Linked DNA regions of Saccharomyces cerevisiae S288C. The gene in region 3 interacts genetically with the main gene of each other region. Each region holds a gene or a part of one and is shown on either strand. Other genes may lie near its edges. The genes, in order: RIC1, CSG2, GEF1 and SUR1.

Region 1 (6,567 bases), on a different chromosome or scaffold from region 3:
GAAATGTGTACTTCAGTCTGGAACTGGGGCGCTTGTGAAGGATGTGTGCCGATCTCAGGCTGTTGATGAAGGTCTCTTCAAATACTATATTATTATCTTTTAGTAGGTCCCAGGAAGTGCCTTATTCTCAACATGTTCAGCGTTTATCTTTCTCAGCCTGAATGTATTTCAAACGATGACTAGAAGAGATTAGTACCCCTTATATAATCCTCGAAAATGTTGCTATCTCAGTGAATTGAAAGTTCATGCTGACGTCTTTATCAGCGTTATCCATTGCCTTGTTCTTTTCAGTGCAGTGGCAGATGTTACGAGGGTCAAATAATTTTTGAATATATATAGAAATGGCTACTTACTATAATTAAAAATAAATATGAAAAATAAAACTTCAGTACCCCACATCATTCTCATTTTTTTCTGTTTGTTTGATTTTTAGGAATTTGGCTCCATCATGAACATTCGTTAGCGTATGATATCACTTTTTCATTATCTCCTATTGTTACTTTACTTTTCATATAGATATCCTTCATCCCGTGTAGGTCTACTACGCAAAAATGAATTCTAGTAATTAATAATAATGATATAAAAAAGGCTAAGTGCACATTACTAAAAACGAAACTAAGATCCTTAGTCTGAGTTGATATCACCTGCGAAAATACCTTTTTCTCTTTGATCATCCCATTTTTCGATCCAGTCTAGGGGACATAAGGCGTTATAGGTCTTCCAAAAGACCTTGCACGGAGCAAAATCTTCGCCCTTCATATTAACACACTTGTGATAATCCACATAAGATTGCCAACAATGCTTTGTTTGGTTTTGTTGGGGAAATCTAGCATCGAAACCAACTGTATGTAGTGGAGAGTTTTCTTGATCAGCCATGTCTATTATACTGTATTTATGTGCTTGTTCCTATTTGTGAAAGCAAAGATACTTTATGTATTCTTACTAAAATATTTGTATATCTCTGCTAATCATTTTAATGCAACTTTTCTATCTGGTGCATCTTTCATCACCTTTTAAAGATCCTGAAGGGATGGGGATATCGGGCAAAACTACGCGCGACGCATTTCTGAAAATTGATTGGTCAATGTTATGAAGCTATATGGTAAAGAATACATGGTGTCATATAGATTTATTTGAATCTCTCGAGTGCTTTTTGAACCAATTGTGTGTTGTTTTCTCTGTCTAATTCCTTGAGTAAGCGTATTAATTGGAAACACATGTCCCACGAATCGGTAGCTTTAATTGGGTCTGTGGCGTTTGCAGCACTTGTCACCAAAAGCTCTAAGACTTTAAGCATTAATTCTTCATCCTTCAATAAATTAGTGACAGATTTCTCTGACTTTTTTGTAGAGTTATCATTTAGAGCTTTGCTTTCCTCAGTCCCTAAATCTGATTTCTTAAAATGTAGATCATCTCCCAAATCTTTCTCATCGTAATTTAAAAACACTAACAGAAGTACGCCAAGCATTTTAGCCTCATTTTCTTCGATACAGAGTGCTAATAAATCTCTTGGTGTCATCTTTAGATTAGTGAATAGATGGTTCCAGTATTTAGTTTCGATCTTCCTTAAACAATTACTAATAATTTCTAACATACCACTGTGGGTTGGTGGTGAAATATTATGCTCAGGATCGGTGTTGTCATACATCTTAATTAATTTCAGGATATCATCCAAAGAGTCGCTTCGCAGTATTTTAGTAGACAAAATCTTTTCGAGTGCAAATTTGTAAGGCTTTAAAAAACGATAATTGTGTGAAATATCCTCCAAATCTGTGTTGTCTTCTAATTTGGCTAAGATTAATTGGTCGAGGTATATTTGGTGTTTCACCACCAATTTGGAAAATCGCGCGTTAAAAATGCAGTGAAGTGTATGTGTTGTAGCTGTTTCTGGGGTGGTTGATATTGGATACAAATCTTCTTCGATTGGAATGGAAACTAGTGGCTTTTTATCATCCCATAAATCTTCCAAAGAGTATACGACGTAATTATGGCCTTGAACTACAAATATTTCGTCCCTGATAACATCGATTATTTTTTCTATGTTATCCAACAAAGTTAAGGTTTGCCAGCCCCCTCCATCCACTTTGCCAAGCTTTATAAATTTCCTATCGGCAAAAAATAACAAGCCCTCCTTCATGTTAATTATCCACTCAATTTTGTTGGGTAAAACATCAATTGGAATGTTAATTTTGAGATACTGGTAGAATTTTTTGATGATGTTTAATCCACATGGATGTACAGTAGAAATTACATCGAAGACAATTGTCTGTGTATCAGTAACTAAAATAATCTCGGCAGTTTTAAGCAATGCATCAGGTTGTTTTTCAGAAGCATTGTGATTCTTGGATTTCATTTTCAACAACTTATACCGGGATAAAGTATTAACATGTAAACTGAAAACAATCGTATTCTCTGGAACATTGTATTCCCACATGACATAATCTGATAGTTCCACGTCCGGATTCGCTTCTTGCAGTGGAATCTGCAGACATTTCAGATTTGTTGAGCCATCATCATTCTTCATATGACAAACCAAATAATTATCACCTAGCCAATGTAAATCCAACACGTTTTGGTCAGCAAAACTAGACCACATATTGGTCTCTAGATTGTGGATAAGCAGTATGTTTTTGTTCGACACATAAGTAGCAAATAACCTCAAGGAAGAATTAATTTTTACAAAAGCAATATGATTATTGAAAGTCTTTGTAGGAAGTTTTATGACTTGTAAATTATCATTATTGATTGAAGAACTTGTCACAGGTGAATATATGATTACATCATTGTTCGTATTGGTTAATACGTAACATTTTGGGTTTCTGAAATCAAATTGTGTTTGTTTTATTTCTTCCCATAATTTCCAAACTTGATATTTTCCGGAATGAGACACTGTTATTAGTGATTTATCCAAGCATACAAAATCAGAAATTTTATATTCAGCCGCCTTTTTCTCATTTTTATCCTTGCTGTTGTCATTATTGTTATCACCATTATAATCATCTTCGTCAAAATATGTAGCGAATAGCAGATTCCCAAATTCTGTGTAAAAATGAATGTTAACACTATCCTCAGAAACCAAAAGTAATATTTTATCATTAATTTTATCGCAAAGTTTTATCACAAATGGTGGTTTCCAAGAATGGCTTACTTTTTTAATTCTTGTATCAAAGCAGATTATTTTTTCTTTGTAAACGACCACCAGGTATCCATTAACTTCTAGGCAAGTCAAAAGTTCATCTGGTGTGTCCGTTAACGGTATTGCTTCAACAGCTTGCTTTTCAATGTCTATAATGCTTACAATAGTCTGCTTTTCGACGGAATCATGAGATAAAACCATTAATTGTTTATTACACACAATTGTCTTGGATCCCTTCTTCACTTCAACCAACGAGCTCTTGCTAACTTTAAAATCCGATATTGTAAGTATTTGTAATCCATGAGGGAATAAAACTATCAAAACTTCTTCATAACGCCCATCCCCGACTTTGGAAAATGTCTTGATGCCAATCATGTCTATGATTTCATAGTCAAATTTAAGAACTACTTTTAAACGAAGTTCTAGTTTTTTCACGGGGAGTTCATCAATGTTTTCTTGATTAGAAAGAAAGTGTAAAAACCCTTTTTCCTTAGTTATGCCAAATCCATTCTGTATAATTCTTGAAGAACTATTTTTATCAAATACCGTGAGAGTATCATCATCGTTGTTATAGTCATATTCAGCACTGTTCGCTTCTTCTTCACTCATTAAAAGAGGCTCTATGACGGGTATGCCGTATTCTTTGAAAATTATTTCATTTGTGCAGTTTTTTAAAATTTGGTATGTTAAAAGGAAGTTTTTATCAGTCATTACGTAAAATATCAGCTTTCCCTGGTGCCACAATAAGTATTGCGAGTCCTTTTTTGAAATAAGCCCTTCGATGATATCATTATATGGAGCTGATCGTTTCATTGATCTGTTATCGCCAAATTCCTTAAGAGAAGCCATTGTTCGTTCATGGCTAGCTACTAGTGCCATTGGTTTGAAGTTGTAAATGAGCACTCTTGTTGGGGTTAGCATGATAAGAACATTGGCCTGGGGTAGTGTCATTGATTGAAGAATATTGCAATCATCTATTTTAGTACCCTCACCTAATTCGGCGTTGCGGGGTGGAATTCTAAGCAATTGGGGCGGACTGACTGGCCATAAGTGCATTTTCCACGTGTTCAGTTTCTTACAGCTTCCGGTCAATAACACTCTTACCTTACCTTTTTTTTTGTAGAGGCATTTAGGTGTATTTTTTTCAGACTGTTTGATGAACATCAAAGGCGTCGGTATTGCCGAATTAACATCAAAGAACAAAAGCCTGCCATAAAACGACAGAAAAGACAAGATTTTGGCCAAGATGGCAACGCCATTCAGAAGTTATAATAATATGTTAAAAATAAATCGTTTGATACTGTACAAAGTTGATGTTCATCGTTGTCACTAAAAACGCTCTTAAAATCGAATTGTCCATTGAAAAAGTACATACTTATATACATATTTGTATAAATAATACACATATTATAAAAAAAGCGAAAAGGGATGGCGGACCTCCCATGGAATTAAATTGTCAAATTTGGTTGAGGCACTTAAAGGGCAACTGCAAAGATTCCGAACAACGCCATGGGGAAATATAAGCTTTTGGCATGGGCACCATTCTGTGATTGACTAGTTCTGGATGTTGAAGAAGAGTTTGATGCGGATATAAGTGCTGTTGTACTGTTTTCTTCATTAGCCATGGAAATCATGGACTGGCCTGCGTTCGCTGTCGAGAAAGGAACAGAATTGGAAACGGAGTTTTTTTGGCTGGCATAAGATGAGTTAGTCATGGTAGCTTCTGTCTCACCTGTTATGAAGTGTTGGGGAAGGTATATGGTGGTGGCGGAGGCTTTGTTTAGCAAAGAGGTATACCATGGAAAGGCCGTAATGAATGTTTGGAATTGAGTGAACGGAAAACTCTGAGCAATATCAGATTGTAAATCTGCTGTTGAGGCCAAATCAACCATGTGATAGTAGTAGTCAGCAACAGGTTGAGGTAGGGTTAAATGGTTTTGCATCATGTATGAGGTATACTGTGGAAAAGCGGTGTCGAAATCGTTTAAAAACTCCATGAAGAATGCCATGTCTGCATCTGCAGCTGCGGACCTGGCAAGTGTATCGTCATTGGAACTAGACGTTAAAGTTTTGGCAGCAAAACTGTGGCTGATTAGAAAGCTTACCAGGAGAATATTTTTAATGAGGGAGAAAGAAGGAGCAAATATCATTGATACGCAATATTTTCAGGAATGTTGTAAATGGTTCGTAACTGGATATCGAAATCACTTGATTAGAAACAATACGCCGGAATATGATCAGGTAAAGCAGAATAACAAAGAATAAACTTTCTCGATTGAGAGTGTCTTTTTAAATCATCCAAGCTCTTGAATTTTCTAGCATAGCCTTGGATGACAGCAATAAAAAATTTGCCAGGATTTTTCCCTATTTGGGCGTTCAATGAAGATAACGTTTGAAATATTAAAAACTAAAAAAAGAAAAAGGTTTGAAGCAATTAATAATTTATTAAGTTTTTTTTTATTTATCATACTTAAGAATATGGAGACCACGGGTTTTCTTACACCTGCGAAGACCTTGAACCTAATATATTTGTTTAAGAAAACAAATAAGCGATTGTTTCTAACATTAAAACGAAGTAAAGACATGGCTTGACTGAACCTACACCTCCTGTGCTTGTACTTGAACTTATAGTATTAGTTGTTTGAGAGCTTTTTGTTTCATTTCTCGACGAAGAAGGCAATGGCGTGAACTGGGTGACTACCGTAGAATTTGAGGATTGGTAATTTATAGATGTTATGACGCTGGAAGTGACTTTTGGTATAGACGACGATGATGAAGAACCGGTGAAATTAGCAGCAGCTAATGAACCAGTAATAATGCTGGAAGAGGTGGTGCTTGGAAGATGAAGTAGTTGATCGTTAGAATTTCCAGTGTCAAGAAAGGTGTATTGCACTTTCTGTCCAAGGGCAGTATTCAAATCCTGAGCATTTGAATCTGTGAGAAGTTGCGCTTGAACAATGAACAGTTGTAGTAGCACAATTGGGGCGAAAGCTAAAGAGCCAAATTGACTGATCTTCATATTTTTTTTGATTTGTTGACGAGCTATAGGATGATGAAACGGAGGGATATCAAAGTACGTTCTTCAAGCTTACAATTTCTCAAGGTGCTTTACTGGTCAAGATATTCAATATATAGCTAAATATTTATACAAAATGTTTGTTGACGGTTTGTTTATAGTGTTTTCAAAACACCACGAAAAGACTTCATTCTTGCATTCTTTTTTCTACAAGATGAGTCTATACATCTGAAACTGCGACGCCATTTTTTCCGCTGTTCGGGGCATTCTTGGCCAAATCCTCGAAAGAAATAAAACGTCAAAAGTAAAAAAGGTGGGCTAGACGAAACGTTATTATACGTCATAATTGTAGCCGTGTATGAGTGGGTGGAACTTGTATAAATAAACAAGTTCTTACTTATCATATTCTCGCATG
Region 2 (4,483 bases), on a different chromosome or scaffold from region 3:
TCTTCGTACCGATCCTCTTCTCGACCTAACCTTTTAATTACCATGGGAAGCCTACCATCACCACACCCACACACAAATGTTACAGCTAATTGTTTATTAGCAAAGTTTGCACGAGTTCGCTGTTTATTTTTTTCTCGTTTTCTTATACCTAGTATTTTTTCTGACACTGTTTAAGGTGACAGAAAAAAAGGAGTTTAAGTTAGATTTGCAAACAGACGGTGCTAAGCGCTGTCACTTTATGTCTATCTTATCGTTAACTCTGGAAAAAGAAAAAGGAAAAAGAACGTCAGGGAACATGAGTATATATAGAAATGGTTTATTCTAGTTTTTTCCGTTTTTTCAGTAGATTTTTGCCTTTAAAAGAATAAATCCCACTACAAAAAGGTAAAATAAAAAATCTATTCACTGAACTTACTGATGAAATTTCCAAATGTGCCCCGTACATCGAACGATGTGACAGAGAAAAATACGAGTAGGTAAATAAGCCAAAAGGCAAGGGTGTCCTTTCTTAAGCATCGGTTAGGTTTGCGGGCGATCAGTAACTGAACAATGACACAAGATCAAGAACGTAATTTGAGATTTTTCAAGATGGTTTTTTTAGGTATCTATTAAAACTACTTTGATGATCAATACGGTATTTTTGTCGCATTATTTTCCAAGCGGAAGGAACCGTGTGTTCATTTTATGAATCTTGGTGTTGTATTCACAGCTACTTCTCCTAATGCCTTCGATGCATTTAGATAATTTTTGGAAACATTTTTTTTCTTGATGTATATTTTTTGTATTGTAGAAATCGCGCGTACTGTACTTGTATATCGCTTTATAAGCGCTTTTAATTGATTGTTCATGACGAGGATAGGCGGATAGGCGGAGGTATGCCTCTTAATATTTATAATAAAGCCCACCAAATGGCTTCTTCTTTTTAGAATATACAATATACAAATAAAAATAAAAAAATAGAAGAACATCCTAGTAATTGTCTTGAAAATAATCAAGATATTGATTGGGATTTTTTATTTAGGGAAACCAAATAATTGCATATGCTTGTTACATCATCATCAGTCATATAAAGTATGTTGTCCGTACTAATGGTGGTATTTACCTTCCCCGAGTGTTACTGATAGGACCAACAAACTTACCGTTAGCATTATGTATCCTATGACTTCCCATCTCACAATTGTGGTTTGCGTAGGTTCGCAAACCCACTCAGCTAACCCCATAAAGATAATAGCTCCCAGGTTGCACGTCGTCAAATACTCAGCAGGGGCCTTGCGATTCAACTCTAATATCGAAATCAAGCTCGGCAAGGAACCAAAGATAATCGAGCCTAGTAGAGAGAACCAAAAGCTCTTGTCATTATAGAACAACGAAATGGATTCCACAGACTCACGGGAGGGAAATTTAGGAATAAATGGCAAAAGTATTACCATGCCAATAATACCGATTAGGGCCATGTGGGTGCTCTGCTTAACCAAGACTACAGCAGAATTTTCGTTCTTGGAAATGTTACTGCAAAACCAACGGTTCCATAACACGGCAAAAGGACCCATAATCAAAGCACCAAGGCCGCAAATCAGAGCACCTTTCAACCTATCAAACAAGAATGGGTCAGAAAGTTCACCCGTGTTAGGGTTGACGGACAGCTTTCCGGCAAGCATGTCACAGGTAGCCTTCGTGTATGAGATGATCAAAATTCCAATGACCGCGTTCATCATGATGAGGAAATTACGGAAAACGTAGTTCTTCCTGGAGATTCCACAAACACCATATAGTAAAGTGACAATTTCGAAAATGGCAGTATTTTGCATCAAAGCAACATCAAATGCCGGTGACAATGACAAAGCCATGTTATAAGTCAAATCAGCGACAATCATTATGAGAGCCAGCACTGTTAGCTTAGCCACATATTTGAAGGTAGCCACGGATATGATTTTTTGCTTCTGCTGTTGGGCTGGAATCCGTGGTTGAGGATCATCCAACACGTGCGAGAACGTATCGACATCTTCGTTTGTCACAGACCCGCTGTTGTTGTTGTCAAACTGAGAATTCCTGTTCGAGTCTGAGTCAGAGACAAACATCGGTCTCATCTTCTCCCAAAGTCGAGATGCAGGCACCAAGAGCAGCCACGAAGCAAAATACATAAAGGTCAGATAGAAGGTTAATGAACTTGAGTTTCCGTTGTCGCCGTTAGTTTCAGGCGTTGCAATTGTACCATTGGGCCCCACGGAGATTTCCTTTTTAGATTGTATGTTAGACAAACATTTTGTTTGAATCACGTAGCCTATTACACTTGAAAACCAAAGTAGTGTGGTAGACATGACGCTGTATCTTTGTTTGTTATCGTGCTAACTCACCAGCTCAAGAGCGGATCTGTTCTGGAAGAAAATGGCCTACAAACATTTCTTTCACTTGATCTTCCCACGTTCACATAGCCTCCTTTAGAGTGAGAGAGCTTTTTTTTTTCTTGCGATACACCTTCGCCGGGTGATAGCCGATATTACAAGAACGGGTTATAGCGTTATAAGTATATATGTATATACAAGGAAGAAAGTAGCATATATTTACAATCTTATTTGAATAAGAAGGAGTACCATGCCTCCTTCTGCTTGGCGCGCTGCTCTGCAGGCACATAACTCTTAACGTGTTCCACGATCTTGTCCACGCCCGTTTTTTCATCATAATTTCTACCCAAAGCATCAACAAACTGTCCTTCAGGGTCCATGAGATAAAAGAAGATGGAATGGTCTACCAAATAATCTTGGCCCGGTTTGACGTTTGGAGGCGTAGAAAAGTATACTCTGTACTTCTTGCATGCGTTCTTCACCTCATCGAACGTCCCCGTCAAACCCAGGATGGAGGGATGAAAGTCGCTCAAATACTCTTTCAATACAGCAGGGGAGTCTCTTGCTGGATCACAAGTTATAAATAATGGCTGCAGAGTAATACCATACTTTGAAGAGAGTGTATTAAGCCATAGACCTAGCTTATCCAGTTCATCAGGACAGATGTCAGGACAGTTACTAAACCCAAAGTATATTATAGAAAACTTACCGAGAAGGTTTTTCTCCGTAAACTCATTGCCATACATATCCTCCAGATGGAAGGGTCCCCCAAGTGAAGGTTTACCGTATCCTCTGTTTGCTTCAGCCTCCTTCTGTGTTTCCAATCTGCGTTTCTCCCTGTTGAAGAAATAAGAAAGTGCCCCACCGACTGCTAGGAATAGAGCAATGGCCTTTCCCGTGGAAAACTCGATCGAGCCTTCTCGCACTTTGCCGTTATCCTTAATGGGAGTACCGCCCACAGGTACTCTGCTTAATGGTTTCTTGCCATTTGACTGCCATAAGCGCGTTACAGTAAAGAATCCCCTTTGAGTGAGCAATTTAGCGCCATTGCCACTTAATCTTGCGGCTGGCAATTGGACCAATCTTAGATTGGCACTTCTTGACAACTTCAGCATCTTTTCTACGTTTGCTGTTTTTTCTGTTTCCCTTGCCTTATACGAACATACGTTTCTAATGCCGATTATAAACACAATAGACACAATTATACTATTTTCTCACTTTTCTCTTCGGGAGATCGCTATTGATTATTATTCCCGTTTATTTCCTTCAATTTAGGGTCTGAAAAGAAGATAGTAGGGTTAGTTTTTTGGGGTTTAAAACCCTAGTATAAACCCCTATACTATTTGTTTATATATTTCCTATTTGAGTATGATAGCATCGATATTGAAATTTACAGAACTTCAATTTAGTTTCAATTGGGAATTCGAGGACTCTCCCTTGGGATGGCCCCAGTCTATTTAACTATCTTCCATAATATTACTGTTGATTTCGTGACTCAGAAGAGAAAACAGAGGAAGTTACATATAGACCCAAATAAAAACCAAAGAACCACATATAGAAATGACGAGAAACCCGTTTATGGTGGAACCTTCGAATGGCTCTCCTAATAGACGTGGTGCTTCAAACCTCTCCAAATTTTACGCAAACGCTAACAGCAACTCTCGGTGGGCTAATCCCAGTGAGGAGAGTTTGGAGGATAGCTATGACCAATCTAACGTTTTCCAAGGCCTTCCGGCATCTCCTTCGAGAGCTGCACTAAGATACTCCCCAGACCGTCGCCATAGAACTCAATTTTACCGCGATAGTGCCCATAACTCTCCAGTTGCTCCGAACAGGTATGCTGCTAATCTACAAGAGTCTCCCAAAAGAGCAGGCGAGGCTGTCATACATCTAAGTGAGGGGAGTAACCTTTACCCCCGCGATAATGCAGATCTACCGGTAGACCCCTACCATCTATCACCCCAGCAACAGCCCAGTAACAATCTGTTTGGAAGTGGCAGATTGTATTCTCAAAGCTCGAAATACACGATGTCTACTACTTCCACAACGGCTCCCTCTCTGGCAGAAGCAGACGATGAAAAGGAAAAATACCTCACTTCGACTACTTCCTATGATGATCAGTCTACAATTTTCTCTGCAGA
Region 3 (5,566 bases):
ACTTGCATGAAGCTACTTTTCAAAAGTAAAGACAGTGTTCCTCGACAAGTTTACTCTACAAGAAAAGGTATCTATTGGGCAGATGTGAATAATAATGTTTACAGAGATAGTGAGCGAATAGACTTTGAAATAAATGGCAGTTTCATTGCTACTAAAGATGGAACTCTATTGAAAGATAACACTATCGTTACTTTGGTCCCAATTCAAAGAGATAATGAGTGTAATTACGCATACGTCACAAAACAAGGTTATCTGAGGTGGAGTTTTTCAAAGGTTTATTACCGGATTCAAAACACGGGAGTTGATTTGACTATAGATAATTGCTTTTTATCTGCTATATCTAGCAAGGGCTCTTTTTTGACTGTACTTGTTCTGAATGATGAAATAACGGTATTTGATCATTGCAACCGTTTGAAAAGCCAGAAAGTAGTTTTCCATAGACTTTCTGACTTAGCGTCCATTTTCCTATATGAATACGAAAGCACGGTCTACATTTTCATGTCTGACACCGAAGGAAACCTTTGCGTTATGAAATTGGCAACTTTTGAGATCGTAGAAGAGGTTAAAATTTGCAAGAAGAAGTTACAGTTCTGTGAAGTCCCTAACTCAGATTATTTTTTTATATATACAGCCGATACTATAATTTTTTTCAAGCCAAGTAAAATAAAAGGTAGATTTAAAATCCAAGAAGTATATGCACCATGTCCTATAAGCTGTTTGATACCTGGAGAAAAAGATGGCTCAGTTGTTATGGTTACTTCTCAAGGTCAATTTTACGACGTACTTGTTCCTGGTGATGCCGGAAGGGCTACTCTTTGTTCTAAGTTTGAAAAAGTTTTAAAAACATGTCTCAAATTTATAACTTTGGAATCTTCATCAAGATATGTGATTGTAGCGGCCCTGCCAGTAGCAAATCCATTGCAGGACAAGTATTCCGAAATTTATGTGTATGATATTAAACAGTTCAAAAACATTTCCGCATTCAATTTTTCTAACCTCAACAATGATATCGAGAGTATAAAATATGAAAACGCTATGATATCAGATATTATTGCCGTACCCATGCTCAAAAGAACCGAAACATTAGGAAAAAGAAAGACTTCTGAGCTGTATAAGGAAGTGATTTTCAATTCATGTATCTTGGTGTCTCTAAATTTAGACTCAATAGACGGTATTGATAGTAAAAATATGAATAACCTATTATTGTTTTCATTTGATGAGGAATCGGGTTTTATTGAATTTGTTTTTGGGATTAACACGGGGTTCTCAATCAGTGGGTTACATAACTATTACAATGGATGTGTTTTGGTTTATGGGGAGTTTGTGCAAGCTTATCAACTGAACTATTCAGTTCATGATAACAAGTTCAGTATTGAACAGGTTTCAAATAGGTTGAATATTTCTGGTATTACAATAACATCATCTATATTTTTTGATAAAAGGAAGGCAAAGATGGCTAGGAAGCAGCAAAATATAGGTACATGGGTTTATTTGGAAGAAATGATTTTACTTGATGTACGGAAAGGTGTGATGAGGTTCAATGTCATCCATACAACAGACGGTAACATAGAAAAGGTTCAATTGCAGGTACAGCCTCTGAATTTATTTGAGAGGGACCTCATCAATAGCATTACCGACACCGGGAAAATGTTTACCGGTGCAGCCGCTATAACTTTCAAGAATATTAGGTATCTACTAATTTCGTACGGTGATCAAAAGCTCACGTTATTTAGTTTAAAACTTGATGGTGAGGAAGAAATAGACGAAAGAGTGTACCATGTTGCTGAGCAAGTTACAACCATCAACTCTGTAAGAACTACTGATTCCAGAATGAGCACGTTTTTAGGCGAATCTACATTTATGCCCTTATTCTTAGTAAGTACCTTGTCTAACGGTTGTTATGTGATCGGAATCCTGCATGAAGAGTCAGATATCTCATTACATATCTTATCAGAAAAGAAAGCTGTCTTCGCAAAGCGGTCGGTTCAAAAGTTCCTGGGCTTCCTCGATCCTCAAATGGATGATCACACTGTAATATCTGAAATTTAGTGTCTACGTTATGATATATACACTTACAAATTTACTTTCCTTTTTTAGTATAGTTTTCAAGTAAAATTCTTGAAGCGGTGTTGTTTTTGTTTGTTCTTCGTTTAGCAAAAGTCATTGTTAAATACACGCTATAATATGGCCATGACCGTAGGACCGAATGCTGTCCGAAAAATGATACTTATCACACATTTCAAATAAGATCGGTTTTGTAGTTCAAAGATTTCTTAAGAGCCTTTTACGTGTTTCTTAAGAAACACTTCACATTGGCTATCATTATTAGTAAATAGATTTATATGATTTTCACTTATTAAGGACAGAAATGTCGCGATTTCGAACCCATAAAAAAAGGAAAAGCACCGCCTGTTCTCCAGTCTTCATAAAAGCACACCGTATAGAAAGGGCGGTGAATGTTGATCTTGCATACTATAAAATTATTTGACACTAATGCCAACAACTTATGTGCCAATAAATCAACCAATTGGGGATGGTGAAGATGTCATTGACACCAATCGATTCACCAATATTCCAGAAACGCAAAATTTTGACCAATTTGTTACAATTGATAAGATTGCTGAGGAAAATAGACCACTGTCTGTAGACTCGGACAGGGAGTTCCTTAATTCAAAATATCGACATTACCGAGAGGTTATATGGGACCGTGCAAAAACATTTATCACATTAAGCTCTACGGCCATAGTTATTGGATGTATTGCTGGTTTCCTACAAGTCTTCACGGAAACTCTGGTTAACTGGAAAACAGGTCATTGTCAGAGGAACTGGCTACTTAATAAATCCTTCTGTTGTAACGGCGTGGTTAATGAGGTTACCTCTACAAGCAATTTACTACTGAAAAGACAAGAGTTTGAATGCGAGGCACAAGGGCTTTGGATTGCCTGGAAGGGACATGTGTCCCCTTTTATAATTTTCATGCTTTTGTCAGTCTTATTTGCTCTAATTAGTACACTGTTAGTCAAATATGTTGCTCCTATGGCTACTGGTTCAGGAATCTCAGAGATTAAGGTATGGGTATCAGGTTTTGAATACAATAAGGAATTTTTGGGTTTCTTAACATTAGTCATTAAAAGTGTTGCCCTTCCTTTGGCTATTTCTTCGGGATTAAGCGTAGGTAAAGAAGGGCCCTCAGTTCATTATGCAACCTGTTGTGGGTACTTACTCACAAAATGGCTACTAAGAGATACTTTGACGTATTCATCGCAATATGAGTATATCACAGCAGCTAGTGGAGCAGGTGTTGCGGTTGCTTTTGGTGCTCCTATTGGTGGTGTCCTTTTTGGTTTGGAAGAGATTGCTTCTGCGAATAGGTTTAACTCCTCTACCTTATGGAAATCCTATTATGTCGCCCTAGTCGCAATAACTACTTTGAAGTACATTGATCCATTTAGGAATGGCAGAGTTATTTTATTCAATGTAACATATGATAGAGACTGGAAGGTACAAGAGATTCCGATCTTTATAGCCTTAGGAATCTTTGGTGGTTTATATGGAAAATATATTAGTAAGTGGAACATCAACTTTATTCACTTTCGCAAAATGTACCTGTCCTCATGGCCAGTTCAAGAAGTGCTTTTTTTGGCGACGCTTACTGCTTTGATTTCTTACTTCAATGAGTTCTTGAAATTAGACATGACAGAAAGTATGGGTATATTGTTTCATGAATGTGTCAAGAACGATAACACCTCAACTTTTAGTCATAGGTTATGTCAGTTGGATGAAAATACGCACGCTTTTGAGTTCTTAAAAATTTTTACTTCCCTATGCTTTGCCACTGTTATCAGGGCCTTGTTGGTGGTGGTATCATATGGCGCCAGAGTTCCTGCCGGAATCTTTGTTCCTTCAATGGCGGTTGGGGCCACATTTGGACGGGCAGTAAGTCTACTGGTAGAGAGATTTATAAGTGGCCCTTCTGTTATTACTCCTGGTGCCTACGCCTTCCTGGGAGCAGCCGCTACCTTGAGCGGGATAACTAACTTGACTTTAACTGTGGTGGTAATAATGTTCGAGCTAACAGGCGCCTTCATGTATATCATACCCCTTATGATTGTAGTGGCAATAACAAGGATAATTTTAAGCACGTCTGGTATTTCTGGCGGTATTGCTGATCAAATGATCATGGTTAATGGATTCCCATATTTGGAAGACGAGCAAGACGAGGAAGAGGAGGAAACCTTAGAAAAATACACTGCAGAGCAGCTCATGTCCTCCAAATTAATTACTATTAATGAAACCATTTACCTTTCCGAGCTTGAATCTTTGTTGTACGACTCAGCGTCTGAATATTCTGTGCATGGTTTTCCAATAACTAAGGATGAGGATAAGTTTGAGAAGGAAAAAAGATGTATTGGCTATGTTTTAAAAAGGCACTTAGCCAGTAAAATCATGATGCAAAGCGTAAATAGCACCAAAGCTCAAACGACACTGGTATACTTCAATAAGTCTAACGAAGAGTTGGGACATCGTGAAAACTGCATCGGATTTAAGGATATTATGAATGAATCTCCAATCTCGGTGAAGAAGGCGGTGCCAGTAACATTGTTATTCCGTATGTTTAAAGAGCTAGGTTGTAAGACTATCATCGTAGAGGAAAGTGGAATTTTAAAGGGGTTGGTCACTGCTAAAGATATTTTGAGGTTCAAAAGAATTAAGTATCGAGAAGTTCACGGTGCGAAATTTACATATAATGAAGCACTTGATAGAAGATGTTGGTCAGTTATCCATTTCATAATCAAAAGGTTTACCACTAATCGAAATGGTAACGTTATATGATTAGACATTTATGTAATTTTTAAGGCGCTAGTATAGATTATTCAAAATTATATGATACAGACTTTTATCAATTTTTACTTGTTTAAGCTCCGTCACCCTGTTATTAAACGTGAGCAGAGAAATGCCTTTTGAAAACACACTAAAACACATAAGTTAATCTTCGCGCCATTTACCAACCTTTTTGTATTGGAGGTAAAGTGCTTTGAAATATTGTTTCCCAGGTGTGTCAAGGAAAGCGTTCAATTGATTCAACTCGTTCTGAGATAATATATCAAAAATCGCATGAATACCGGGCTGCAGACTCTTTTTTATGTTTAAACTGAACTGCGTCGTAATAGACAACTGTATATATTTCGTTAGAACCACAAGTACATTTTTTCTGATGGACTGCTTTATCAAACTTATCTTTGAGCTTAAGTTATTTTTCTGCCCATTTTGAGCGTTTGATACATTATAAGGCTCGCAGTAGTTCGTTATTAGTCTGGCTACGGCGTCTGCTGAATTTGCACACAATGTACCATCATGAATTGCTATTATTTCTAGTATCTGGCAAAGAACGGAGTTAAACAAATGGTGACGATTGGAAAATTTAAACCTGTGAACTAATAGCATATGATCTATCACTTCGATGATGTTAATAAAGCCTTCATTGATTTCATCCGTTGACTCATGGTTTACTATAAAAGCGAGAGTTTTTAAACAGAAAGGAAGCAGCATTTCAATACAGTATTGG
Region 4 (4,299 bases), on a different chromosome or scaffold from region 3:
AAGAACCGTCGAGAAAATGTGATACCGAATCCCTGCGGTGGACGTGGCTAAAGAATAGTGAAGAAAAACCGGCTGTAGTGTATGTTTTGTATGAGCCATAGCCGAAAGATCGAAAAAGTAGCAGATCCCAAACACTTTACGGAAAAAAATCGAGAAATTCCGGCGAATCGGCTCTTAACGGATGCAGGGTGTCAGTCTGATGAGCCATAAAAAGAAAGATGCACCATTGCCAAGCTGCCCTGAGGAAGGGTTTTGGTTACCCTGTGAGATGGATGCGGTAAAATGACCAAGGGACCGGTTGGTAAGGGACCAGGTTAGGAACCGTGAGCGGCGAAAAAAGCGCGCATTTGCACAATTATATTATTAACAGGTGCCTGAATTTTAAGAACCGTCCACCATCACAGGTGAAACAAATCAACAGAGTCCTGCCGGCTGGTAAACAATCCATCTTTGGTTTAGAGGCCACTATCGTCAGAATAATATAAGGTCTATTTTCGGCGCGAAAGTCCTGATGAGGTAAATCGTAGTCAGGCGCCTGAAAGTCTAAACTAAACAATTGAAAGCCGAAACCGAAACGCGGAAAAGTAAATGGCACTCTTCGAGCGGCTACTAGTCGAGTAATTACATTTCTAAATTAGTCTGTGCAATAGGGAAAAGAGAACATTCTTACTCCGTTGCGATGTTTCTGAGCATAAGGCGCGCGCAAAAGCACGCACGCATTGACCGGAGCGGCGCCCACACACGGTTGTTATCCTAGTTTTTGTTGTGAGGAAGTGTTCATATTCTTTTAGGTTATATTTATATATATATATATAAAAGTTGAATGTAAAATGCAAAACAAAGATATCGTAGTATAGAGGGTAATATCACAGTAATAAAACAGGCCTGGTTTGAAGAATGATTATGTTGATGCTGGAGGTCGTAAATTGTAACATGAAATAGGGAGCATGCGAAAAAAAAAAATGACGAGCAAAAAAAGCAAGGTAGACAGGCGTGCCAAGCGGAGTAGTATGTCGTAAGAAGCGAGCAAATAGTACTCCTTGTCTTGCAAAGTAGCGAAGTACAAGACTGGTCTTCAGGCTGCTAGAGATTTGTATCAATTTTGTATTTTTTTTTCATCCCATGCAATTTTCCTTCCCATTTCTTTTGCTTTTTTTGCCGCGAATTGAAATATAAAGTCTGATATGAATTGTTGGAGTCATACCATTCTCTTACGAGCTGTTATTTCCCAGTGAGTACTTAGAAGAATCATTCTTTTCTAAATCGTAAACATCACTTTTCCTTGAAGATTTTAGTAACACTATGTTTGTATTGGAATCTTTCCTCAATCGTTTCTGCTGCCTTGCCAGCAAAGTGGCACTGGCAGTATCACTGGTACTTTTACTCAACTTTAGTCTTAAGCCTAATGAATTTAGAATTGTGACAAATCTTACTTTTATAGCATTAAGTTTCCAATTTTTGGTTAGATTACTGAAATTCTTGGAACACAACCAGCAATAGAACGTGAATTCACCATATAGGATAAAGAAGCCAAAAATAAATCCGGTAACGACGCAGGATAAGATGTGGTTTTCTAGTGCTTTCATCAATTTTGCATCATCTAAATGCCATGAAGAGCCTTTAGTAATGGAGAAAAATGAATAACTATGCATCTTGTAGTAAGCAGGTTGTAGGATTCTTACTGTCCCGTTCTTAGGTATGCGCCATCTTTTGTACTGCTTCCAAATAACACTTAAAAACAACGGACCAGTAGACCCCATAATAGTCATGTAAGGGATAAACCAGTACTTGTCATAGTGTTTCAAAGACTTTAAAGCCTTTAAAAAGAAGGGATGTCTAGGCACAGAACCCATGACATCGTTTGAGACACCTAAAGGTGAAGTCTTTCTTAAGAAGGCCGGGAAAGCTAACAAAGGATCTAGTTTCCTTTCGCAGCCGTCATCTAAATCGATGTATACACCACCATAATGGGACAGGATAAAGTAACGAATGGCATCGGCACGTTCTATGGGGTATTTGTAGTTCTCAAAAGTATCGAGAAACCACGGGTATTCTTCCTTTATAAACTCATAGGCCATCTCGTCCGTCCATAGGATGTACTTGTAATCTGGATGTAGATCGAGACATTTTTGTCTACCCTCTTTCCAGTGCTCAGGGATGTCTTCCGTTTTATAAGTCTGATGTATGATTTTAGGTATTAGTTGAGGCTTTGGAGGTGCATCTGGATTTAAGTCTTCCTCAAGTATAGCATCTTTAACAGTATCGTCAATACACAACGTTAGCAAATCGAAAGTGTAGTATATTATAGATAACAGGAGGAGTATGTTGAAGCAGATAAGGTATTTTAATTCTTTTCTCATCGTGAGTGCAACAGCGGAAAATCAGAAAAATAGAGTAAAGCAAATATGCGAAAATGAAAAGTGTCTTCCGATTTATTGTTTGTTTGTATGTGTTTATTTGAATCCGATGATGAATATTACAACAGGTTAAAGAAAACAAAACATGCGAAGCAAAATATGACGGGAATGTTGGCACCTTTTATTTAACTATATTAGAAAAGAAAAAGCAGAAAACGTAAAATATCTGCGTAAGCCTCCTCCCTGTGTCTTCACTCCTCTAACCATTTTTTCCAAGTAGAAAAGTTTATATATAACAAGAGGGGAAAAAAATGTGGAAATTGGCAGTGGACGTGAGAACAAAAAAGCACCGCTGAAAGGCTTGGCCAAGGAAGTTTAGAAAGGCGATAATAACGAGGTAAGAAGAAAGAAAAAAAAAGAAAAAGATGGCTTAGCAAAAGATTGGTTTTTATCCCGGGGGAGTTGTTGTGGCCGGGAGCAAGAGAAGAGACGCAGCAAGCGTGGGTCAATGATAATGACGCAGCGCGACGCGACGCGACGCGAATTCAAAAGTGTGAGTTTGCTCGGGGATAGTAATAATGCGGGGGGGAAGACGAAACAGACCGTGTGTGGTGTGGGTGGGATTTCGTGGGAGCACGTGGCGAGCAGAGGAAGAGCCTCACACAATGCTGCGTTCTTCATAAAGGGGATCAAAGCAAATAGATAATCGATTCCAAAGACAGATGGCTGACACGCACTTTCACAGTTTCGCAGTTTTTTCTTTTTTCGTAGTCGCTTTCCTAGTCGCTTTCCTGGCTCTTTACCTAATCGGGCTTAACCTAGCAGTACCTTTTCTCGATTCATGAAATCAAAACGCTAGTCACTTCCTTATAATTTCCTTTTTCAATTTCCGCCGCTTGCGTTTACGTAGTTTATCTATTTATAGGTACGGTATACCCTACTGCATTAATAACAATGAGTCCAGCTTTTCTTGGGTCAGTTGAATATTTAATGCATGCTTGTCGCACTGGTTATTTAGGAGCCGCAATTCTAGCTCATTAGAATTGATTTTTAGGTTTAGTTCTTCCAAAGCGGAATCGATGGAATCGCTCTCTTTGAAAACTTCCCTCGCCTTTTCACATTCACTTTCGGTGTTGTTTGTCTTTTTCACATTTTTATCAAAATCTGTCAAGTAAATAAAGGGGGAATCTTTCATATCTAGTATTCTTTTCTTCTTGACGACGCTGCTGCTAGAGCCGTCGCTGTTACTTCTATTTTCTGGTACGTGTACTGGGTAACCCTTTGCATAATAGCCATTCGATGGGGGAGGCGGTGGTGTCTCACGGTGGTGGTAATTATTGTAAGTATGGCTGCTGGAATATGGATAAGCACTGCTGTGATATGATCTATTGTTGGTTATAGACGATACTGAAGGTGGTGGCGGAAGCCCGTTGCTGGTGCTGCTAGTGCTGCTGTTCCCACTACTACCATTTCTGCTGCTGGTGCTGCCAACGCTCATCGGTTGTTGGCGTGGATGATCTGCCTGCATGTTCCGGTATCTGGACTTGACTCTTTTTTCGTCATTATCTTCTTGCGAGGCGCTCGTGGTCCTGCCGTTCGTATCTTGACTATTGCCACGTTGCGGTAGGTGGTACGAATTTGTACCATTGTTGTACCTGGGGGATGGTTGTGCTTGGTAATGCCTGCTATTAGCTGAATAGTACGGCCTTGTATCTGTGTATCCGTTTCGATAGTATGCTCCGGTTTGTCTCAAGTCTCCCTCTTGGGGCGGCTGCTCATAGTCACTGTTGTATCTCGCGCCATAAGACGCATTACCGCCTCTGTAATACGATCCGCCTGCTCCACCTCTACTTCGTCTCGCATGGTGATAACCCCCCCTTTGTCTCGGAGGAGTGGATGAGTATCTGCTATAATTATTTCCCGTGTATCCGCTCATACTTTA

The links.
Region 1: mutations in GEF1 (region 3) and RIC1 together harm fitness more than expected from each alone (negative genetic interaction), as found in Saccharomyces cerevisiae (5 studies listed by BioGRID, with this or other methods).
Region 2: mutations in GEF1 (region 3) and CSG2 together harm fitness more than expected from each alone (negative genetic interaction), as found in Saccharomyces cerevisiae (2 studies listed by BioGRID).
Region 4: mutations in GEF1 (region 3) and SUR1 together harm fitness more than expected from each alone (negative genetic interaction), as found in Saccharomyces cerevisiae (4 studies listed by BioGRID).

The regions. Positions count from the first base shown.
Region 1 is NC_001144.5:224,297-230,863, forward strand, and holds RIC1 (Ric1p), read right to left. Parts: upstream 4,301-6,567; coding exon 1,130-4,300; downstream 1-1,129. Other genes in the region: COX12 (cytochrome c oxidase subunit VIb), read right to left, coding at 625-876; AFB1 (Afb1p), read right to left, coding at 4,612-5,286; NFG1 (Nfg1p), read right to left, coding at 5,670-6,155.
Region 2 is NC_001134.8:307,996-312,478, forward strand, and holds CSG2 (mannosylinositol phosphorylceramide synthase regulatory subunit), read right to left. Parts: upstream 2,319-4,483; coding exon 1,086-2,318; downstream 1-1,085. Other genes in the region: Cu-binding protein SCO1, read right to left, coding at 2,570-3,457; chitin synthase CHS2, read left to right, coding at 3,903-4,483. UniProt on the Saccharomyces cerevisiae protein: Required for calcium regulation. May regulate calcium accumulation by a non-vacuole organelle. Also regulates the activity of CSH1 and SUR1 during mannosyl phosphorylinositol ceramide synthesis.
Region 3 is NC_001142.9:505,253-510,818, forward strand, and holds GEF1 (Gef1p), read left to right. Parts: upstream 1-2,493; coding exon 2,494-4,833; downstream 4,834-5,566. Other genes in the region: MLO127 (Mlo127p), read left to right, coding at 1-2,049; ribosome biogenesis protein URB2, read right to left, coding at 4,987-5,566. UniProt on the Saccharomyces cerevisiae protein: Anion/proton exchange transporter involved in iron and copper cation homeostasis. Involved in intracellular iron metabolism during growth on fermentable and non fermentable carbon sources.
Region 4 is NC_001148.4:450,698-454,996, forward strand, and holds SUR1 (mannosylinositol phosphorylceramide synthase catalytic subunit SUR1), read right to left. Parts: upstream 2,361-4,299; coding exon 1,212-2,360; downstream 1-1,211. Other genes in the region: LCL1 (Lcl1p), read right to left, coding at 2,733-3,038; LGE1 (Lge1p), read right to left, coding at 3,295-4,293. UniProt on the Saccharomyces cerevisiae protein: Involved in the synthesis of mannosyl phosphorylinositol ceramide. Catalyzes the addition of mannosyl to phosphorylinositol ceramide. Suppressor of RVS161 mutation.